Linked DNA regions of Caenorhabditis elegans. The protein of the gene in region 1 interacts with the protein of each later gene in a pairwise test. Each region holds a gene or a part of one and is shown in the gene's direction. Other genes may lie near its edges. The genes, in order: emb-27 and cdc-26.

Region 1 (5,080 bases):
TCGGAAAGATCCCAGAGAATGGAAAGCCGGGGATGGTGCAAGTTTTCGGCGAATTGAAAAAATGGAGCCGAACATCACTTTTGCTTTGCTTCGAGCAGAAAGTCTAGTAACAATATCCATCAATTGTGTAGACGATACCGAATCGTTATCATCATCTTTTCTCATTGTCAACCGGATCCAGGAGCTTTGCGAGAAAGCTTCAGAAGTACAACCGACACCTCGGCCCTCAGCATCGCCAGGCCAACTCAATACTCTTGTCTGAAAATTTACAAGTTTTTAAAAGTTATTTGCATACCATATCACCCATTCTGTGCACGTTTCCATATTGAGAACCTTCGACTTTGATGGGTGAAAAATCGTATTTTTCGGAATTCCTTCCCAGAGATGCGGTGGATTTTTCATTTGTATATAAATACTGTTCGTAGTTTCATGAGACATGTCGACAACAATTCGAACAAACAAATTATAATATAGATTAAGACGAAATCCGGCATGATCCAAACCATCATCAGCGAATTCGGCTAATCGAACTCCGAAATATACCACTGCCAGTCTTTTGTCATGCTCAAATCTCGCATACGAGAGGTATTTATTGCTTCCTGCCACTTTGAATGAACTGTTTTCACGGGATGCATCTGCATTATGGTGTGACTGAAGCTTTCTTAAAAACAAAAATCTGATTAGAAATTCTGTAGAATATGTGCAACTTACACACTACAAACTGTGTTTTCTTGACTGATGAAATCTCCTCTAACAAGGAAAAGTCCTGAATTAGGGCAGTTTCCAATCGCAATCGCAGAAATATTTATATCCATGTGTTGGGGTCTAAATTATAACTTGAGTATATAAAAAGCGGATGAGTATTCTATTACGTTATTTTTGTGAAAAGCGTATGCATTTTCGGGACTTCCAAAAATACTTGATCATGGAGCATTCCAGTTATTCTAGATGTGAAACTTGATGCGAACTCGGAGAACAATTCATTTTCATCTTCTACTTCACCGTTTGGCGTCAAAACTAAATGAGCATCGATGACGTATGATTTATCTTCGTACGCAGCTCGTGGCACCATCCCCACCTTGATCCAGTTTACCTCGTCAACTTTAGACTGAAATTAAATTGTTTCAAATACGGCCAATTAAAAAATCGCTTACCAATTTCAAGTGTGTTTTCAAAACATCTTTTATATTTTCCATGTGTGCTCGGCAATATCCAAAGCAATCATTATTCATGCTGCCAATGAGCTTAGCATCGAAATTCAGCTCAATCGCCTGTTTTTTACTAAACTGTCTCGTCTTCGCAACTGTTTCCGATTCTTCTGCAGCGGCCCATAACATCCGCACGAGTTTTTCTTGTTCTTCGATATTTACACCACCTCTGTGCTTCGTTTTCTCATAAAGAATGTGAGTTGATGGGAGAGAGTGCCGTTTTAGAACAGAACAGTCGACTGGTTTTGAAGTAGAAGGCCTTTGTGACTGTAGCAGGTAATCACGAAGATATCCACGATTCACTGGATACGAAAAATTGTTTAAATGATTTCCTGGAAAAGCCGACGATGAAGAGTGAACAGGCTGTTCTTGTACGTCAACTTCCGATTTAGATTTTGAATTTCGATCCATCCGAAACGTTGTCAATAGCATCTTGTTTGAATGCCCAATTGTTAAGGTGTTCACTGGAGTGCATTCTGTTTTTCGATTTGGTAAAGTTCCAGACGAAAAATTCGATCTACCACGTGGAAATGTTGATTGACTCTGAGGAACTCCTCTGGAAAAAAACATTGTTTCATTTGACTACCGTTTGCTCACCGAATTTCAATTACCTTGGATGCTTCGGCCTAACAGAAGTTGTAGCATCATCGCTAGAGTCATCATTATCAAACGGGAGCATTTTGTGAAAGACTTTTTGAAAATGGCATTTATTTTACGAAAAAAATGAGAAACAATTTTATTCAAAAATTTGATGATGTATGTTCGCTCCATTGACAATTAGCAACGAGACTCCGCAGTTACGGCTAAAATTTAAATTTGATCAAGCATTAAATCCTTTTTATTTTGTTTTTAAGCGCCTAGGCGCGCCTTTATGTTATTTAGTTAAAGTAGCTGTAACTACTCCGTGTAAGCTGTAAAATTATAATCTAAAAATAAGACTATAATCTCAACACTTTTTCACAACAGTTCCATTGCAATTAACGTCATTATTGAATTTCTATTTTACAATTCTTGTTGCTTAACTTAAGTTCTCTACTTACTAAACAAATATACGAAGCCTTTACAGCATGAGCGCGATCTCGCCTGATACAAAAAGTTTTGCGATTCCGACATTGGCTGATGAAGGTTCCTCAAGCAAGCCAGCATCATCTTTGTGAGTTTAATAAATAACATTTCTTTTTCAAACTACAATTTTTCAGAGATTTGCCGAAACACGAGTCTATTCGTTTCAAGCCGATTAAAACACTTGCAAGTAGAATTGATGGATCGGAGTATTATGACGAGGCGAGCATGGAGAAAGTGATGTCAGTTTGAGACCAGCATATATATTAATATGTTATATTTTTAGGGAAATGCTTGAAATCGGCAGAACCGATGAAGCTGTAGCTTACGCGGATACATTATACTCTAATATAATTGATGATGAACAGCAAGATATTGTCACCATCGCTGAATACGTAAAAATTCTCGTCGTTCTCCGTCAATGGCGGCGTATTAGCCATATTATTGCTCGTGGGAACTATCATCAGATTCACATTGTTTTTGCTTATTATGCCGCTACCGCACTTTTCCAACGGAAATTATACGAAGATGTAGCTGAATTATCGGTCGGTCATCTTCTTCCAAGTAATGGCCAAATTGGACCTCTTCCTGTTCGAACACTTTCACAAGTGACGGGGAGATATGTCGAGGAAGAAAGAATGAAGTACTCATTTGCAAATATGGCCGAATTGGATAATAGCTCTAAAAAGCTCAGAATGGTTCCAGCTCTTATGATAACCATAGCAGAAAGTTTTTTGAAATTGATGAATCGTGATGCTGCAATGATTTGTATTAATTACGCGCTGAGTCTTGTAAGTCATCTTTTATACATGATTTGACCGTGTTTTATTATTTCAGGATAATACAACTCTCCATGTCGAACGATTAATGGCAAAATACAATCTGGTTGAGCCTGCGATGTGGGAGAAGTACAGAAAAGTCAGAAATGAACAGCTGAAGTTACACGAAGGAAATCATGATCCACGAATTCTTATGGAACGTGCTCAACGTGCCTACGAGATGGGTCGATTTCGAGAAACAAAAAAAATCACTGACGAGCTATTTGATCTATTTGGACCACATCCTGAGTGCATTATTCTTCGTATTCACTGCCTAACAATGTTAAAGGATTCTCGATCTCTGCTTGAATTAGGTCATCAACTAGTTAGTGATGATCCTCATATTCCACTTCCATGGTATTGTGTTGCTATGTATTATTATAGTATTGGAGCAAACTCAAGAGCTCGAAATTTCATCAGTATGTTTCCCATTTCATTGAGGTTTAAATAGAGCTTCTTTAGGTAAATGCACGATGATGGATTCGACGTTTGCTGAAGGATGGGTGGCTTTTGGTCATATTCTTCACTATGAAGTTGAACACGAACAGTCCATGAGTTGCTATTACAGAGCGTCGAAACTTGTGGATAAAAGTTCTGAACCGTTCTTGTACACTTCTCTTCAGTACAGTACGCATAGTCAGAAGCTGAGCAAGAAGTTCATGGGAGAAGCAGTTGCTCGGGCACCGAATGACCCTCTGATTCGTCACGAAGAAGCTTGTGTAGCCTATACTGCAAAAAGTTACGCGGAAGCCGATATTTTATTCAGAACTGTTTTGTATATGGTTACAGAGACCGATGAAATCATTCCAATTGAAGAAGTCTTGAAAAAGTAAGTATCTAATTCGATGATTATTTGAGAGAAAAATAACATTTTTTCAGGAAAATCGACGACTTTTGGCACCCAATGCTCAATAACATTGGCCACATAGCCAGACGGCAAGGAAGGCTGAATGAAGCAATCATGTTTTATCAAAAAGCTATCCGAATGGAGCCAAAGTTTGTAGATGCCATTGCATCAACTGCTCTCTGTTACGCAGTTCTCGGCAACATTGATAAAGCAACTGAATTCTTCAATAAAGCTCTTGCGATCGATCCATTTAATGAAACAATCCGTCAATGTCTGTCAAAAATGATTCAAGCGTCAAAAGAAAGTTATTCTGTTGATCAACAAACGGTAAATATACTATATCTTATGTTATCTAGGTTTTTTGTTTTCAGCTCCCGCCCGCATACAACTCTGAAACATACTTCGGTGCACAAGAAATTCTTCCGTACTGTGCAATAAGAAAACCACGAAATGATGGATTCGTTGTTCCGTCCATCGTATCGTCAAGCCAACCATTTATGTCGATGCTGAGAGATCGTTTGCGAAGACAGGATCAACTATATGCACAAGAGCCAGATAACGATGCAGGAAATCAAGTGTAAAATGTCGCAACTTTATTTATTCATCCAATTTTTAAGTCTTTCAATTATAAATTTTTAATCCTTCATTTCGAGAATGACAAAAAACAACGCATAAAATTTAATTATTTCTACTCAGACGCTCTTTTACAGCCTCGAGAAAGAGATTCATGCAATTCGGCAGTGTGATAGTTTCTTCCGGACTTTTTGAATAAACCAGTGTAGGAAGCATGGATATTGCTCGTCCAGAGAGTCCACGCGCTTCTTGGGCGATTTTAAAAAGAATCTCGGTAAACTCATTTCTTGGTGCTTTCGTCTGTAAACAGTTGACAATTATTTCGAAACATTTGTGTTAAACTCACATCACAAATATCTTGTGGCCAATAATCAGTGTGAACTTCATTATCAATAACAACACCAATCCGGGCCAATTCCATAATTGATGATTTCAGCATAGAATATCGTGCAAAGTCCGAAGGCTGCCCGACATTTTTTACAATGTCGGCTCGATCAACGAGAGCTTTATCCAGAGTTGATTCCAGGTTCGACGTACACAGAATAAGTACGTTATCACGTCTCCTGATTCTA
Region 2 (3,631 bases), on another chromosome or scaffold:
GCAAATTATCAAGGAGAGAGATGAGCTGAAAAGCAAGGTGGACTCCGTTGTTGCCATTTTGGAAATACCGGAAGTCAAGGAAATGATGGATAACAACAGAGAAAGAGATGGAAATGTCCGTATTTTGGAGCATCTCACTCAAAACCACAATGTACGTTTTTGCTTTGCAGTTTCGAAAATAATCTTAATTCTTGCAGTTCACAGTAGACATGGTCGATACCCTCTTCAAGTACAGCAAGTTCATGTACGAATGCGGAAATTACACCGTCGCATCCGTGTGCCTTTACTACTACCGCAACCTTGTCAATCAAGCGGATCCAAACTATTTGAACGCTCTTTACGGAAAGTTGGCCAGTGAAATTCTGCTCCAAGAATGGGAACATGCTCGTGACGATTTGCTGAAACTTCGTGCTTACATCGATGCTAATCCATTCGACACGGAATGGGAACTTGTTACGCAACGTGCGTGGCTTATGCACTGGGCACTTTTCGTCTACTACAATTATCCAAAAGGGCGTGATGAGATTATCGAAATGTTCTTGAACCAGCAACCTTATTTGAATGCAATCCAAGTTTTGGCGCCACATTTGCTCCGCTATCTGGCTGTTGCCGTTGTTACCAGCAAAAGCCGCCAGAAGAACAGCTTGAAAGATTTGGTGAAGGTCATTGACATCGTGAGTTTAACTATTTTCTATATGAAAATATGATTAATTATTTGTTTTTCTACAGGAACGCCATAGTTACAAGGATCCCGTCACTGATTTCCTCACCTGTCTCTACATCAAATATGATTTCGACGAGGCTCAAGAGATGCTTCAAAAGTGCGAAGAGGTTCTCTCCAATGATTTCTTCCTGACTGCTGTCCTTGGAGATTTCCGCGAGTCTGCACGCCTTCTCATTTTCGAGATGTTCTGCCGCATTCATCAGTGCATTACCATAGAAATGCTAGCACGACGATTGAATATGAGCCAAGAGGAAGCTGAACGCTGGATTGTTGACTTGATCAGAACGTATCGTATCGAAGGAGCTAAAATTGACAGCAAGTTGGGACAAGTGGTGATGGGTGTCAAATCCGTCAGCATCCACGAGCAAGTCATGGAAAACACGAAGAGATTGACCCTCCGCGCTCAACAAATCGCCCTTCAATTGGAAAAAGGTCGTCAAGACAAAGTCAAGGCGACTTAGGCTTTACAAGTTCTTCCGGTTTTGAATGTTTTTTCCTTTTTCTTCATCTGATGCTGTTCTGAAAATTGAGATGTGGCAAACACGGAGATTAAGACTGTCATCTCTCAGTTTTCAGTATTATTTTTCTTTCTTATTTGTTCAGCTCCTCGGTTTTTTACGAGGACTACTCGAATTCTGTCTTTTCTAAACTTTCCTTATATCCCTGTTGTTTCTTTTTGTTGTCTCTGACCCTTCTTTCGTTAGTGCAGGGGCTGGAGGTTCGGTTCTAATTGGTTAAAATAATATATTTTCTCTTTTATCATGGTTTGATTATTGTTAGAATCTAGGTTTATGAAACCTTTCAATATATATTTATTGCCGTTGCCGAGAAATTGTTTGAAATTATTTTTTGTGAGGAAAAACACTTCCATCTGTATATTTTGTCATTTCTGTTGAATTTGCCTTACTTTTTCGCTAATTACAGAAATATTTAAGCCATAGGTTCGATTTTGCCGTTTAAAAATTAAATCTCCAAAAATACACATTTTCGCCAATTCACAGTTTTTATGAAATTAAATAATTTATCTCACTCTTTTTCAGTATGTCAATGTTACGGCGTCCATTAACACAATTAGAATTGTGTGAGGACGATATCCAATGGCTGACAGATCAACTGAACAAGAGGGTACTTCCAGCTGTGATCGTGCCAAAATGCGAAATGATGGATATTGACGAAATGGAGCCGATGGATCAGAGTGAGCCTCCACGTGGCATAACTAGGAGAAATCTCAGATCGGCGGATAGAAGTGAGATGATGATTTATTTAATTTTTCCTAACCTAGCTTTTTCAGAGAACAGAGACGTTCCAGGACCAAGTACGGGAGAGTGCACGCGTACTTCCATTGCACCGGTAATTTTTTTTTTTAAATTAAATGTTTTAAACATTACCTTTTAGAATCGATGTGAAATGTCATTCACTGAAGTGCAGGTGACATAATTTTGTGTTGTTGGTGTTTCGAACACTTATTTCTATTCACTTTTTCATATTTATCTTATGGCTATTCTCCGTATTTCCAGACTTTAACATCTGCTCGAACTCCTGTCGCTGCTCCAACTCTAACACTTTCGACGCCAGTCAACCCTGTCTCATCAGCTGAAATGTTGAGAGTTATGCCACCTCGTGTAGGTCGACGTCCACGAGCTTCTCGTTCTGGTGACAATGATTCGCCACTCCTCTTCAACGCTTATGATACACCACAGCAAGGAATCAATGACGAATCTCCAACACCCTCTGACTCTCCCGAATCTCCTAATGCTCATCTCTATGGTGGTCAATGAGTTGTTGGAGGAATATTGTCAATATTTTATTTTCAGCTACTCCCGGCAATCCTACTTCAACTTCTGGAGGACCTTCTTCAAATACACGATCTCACAGACACTAACAACTACTGGTCAGGGTTGTGTTTAGGCAAACGTGCAAAACCCGCTTATTTCAATATAATAATTCACTTTTTGATCTAAAATTGATTTAGAAACGTAGAAAAACTTTTAGAGGTCTTCTCAAGCTTTTCATTAAAAGTGAACCGTTTTATACATTTCTATATTTATCAATTTTTAATTTTTTAAAAACTTGGATTGTTATACTGAAATTCGCAGTTTTACACGCCCTGCTACTGATCTCCCTTTCAATTCCAACTTCCTCAGCGTGCTTTCTTCTTTTTTCGAACTAAATAAATTTGTACAATATTTGAAACAAATATTTCTGAAATGCTACATTTACTGTCATAGTCTGTGATTTTTCTATCTTTCTTTGTTTTTTGAAATTCCAATATTTCATTAATTCTTCACCAGCCCTGTTTCAGAAATTGCAAGATGCACGGGTTAAAACGAAGTCTGATGATCAGAACAGTCTGCCGTGGAAAGGCAACAACTGCAGGAGCAGATCTACCACAATCATCACAAGAAATCGAAGTTACCACCCCAAAATCAGAAAATGTTCCAGCCAAATCAGCGAACGCTTCAACTGTATATCGTCCGCCATACTATCGAAAGCCACATCAGCACCACGAGCCAAAGCATATGCTCCAAGAGGAATTTGTGAACGCTGGCGATGCATCTGGAGCAGGAGTTCGCGTTTTCGACTACTACAAGACTGCAGAAATGGTCCATTCAATGCCAACAATTAAAGAGAAAATTGATTTCGTCTCACCGTACGAGCGACCGTGGACCCGCGCAGAAAAGACATGGCGTAGAGATTGGCATCCAACGTTGATGGCAACACGCAAAGCTTGGGGAATTCCACCGACACCGGCACATTTTGATACTTTGGATTATTATAAATACCTTACAAAGACCAGAGTAGAAAATGAGTCACTTGATGATTTTTATCATGGATTAAGACCTCCGACAGCTGATTTGCAGACAAGTTTCCAAGTAAGAATATTTCATGAAAATATTATCATTAATT

What was found.
Region 2: the proteins of emb-27 (region 1) and cdc-26 interact in a two-hybrid assay, tested with the Caenorhabditis elegans proteins (2 studies listed by BioGRID).

What each region holds. Positions count from the first base shown.
Region 1 is NC_003280.10:8,159,365-8,164,444, reverse strand, and holds emb-27 (Cell division cycle protein 16 homolog), read left to right. Parts: upstream 1-2,274; 5' UTR 2,275-2,275; coding exon 2,276-2,361; intron 2,362-2,407; coding exon 2,408-2,512; intron 2,513-2,556; coding exon 2,557-3,061; intron 3,062-3,107; coding exon 3,108-3,507; intron 3,508-3,550; coding exon 3,551-3,917; intron 3,918-3,967; coding exon 3,968-4,262; intron 4,263-4,306; coding exon 4,307-4,516; 3' UTR 4,517-4,580; downstream 4,581-5,080. Other genes in the region: rrf-3 (RNA-directed RNA polymerase), read right to left, coding at 1-258, 304-661, 712-825, 873-1,108, 1,155-1,764, 1,820-1,887; pch-2 (Putative pachytene checkpoint protein 2), read right to left, coding at 4,614-4,808, 4,855-5,080.
Region 2 is NC_003279.8:10,638,362-10,641,992, reverse strand, and holds cdc-26 (Anaphase-promoting complex subunit CDC26), read left to right. Parts: upstream 1-1,759; 5' UTR 1,760-1,765; coding exon 1,766-1,970; intron 1,971-2,015; coding exon 2,016-2,074; intron 2,075-2,119; coding exon of another isoform or gene 2,120-2,152; intron 2,153-2,241; coding exon 2,242-2,494; coding exon of another isoform or gene 2,495-2,502; exon of another isoform or gene 2,503-2,538; coding exon 2,539-2,606; 3' UTR 2,607-2,917; downstream 2,918-3,631. Other genes in the region: eif-3.E (Eukaryotic translation initiation factor 3 subunit E), read left to right, coding at 1-151, 198-674, 730-1,185; mrps-30 (Mitochondrial Ribosomal Protein, Small), read left to right, coding at 3,037-3,597. UniProt on the Caenorhabditis elegans protein: Probable component of the anaphase promoting complex/cyclosome (APC/C), a cell cycle-regulated E3 ubiquitin ligase that controls progression through mitosis and the G1 phase of the cell cycle.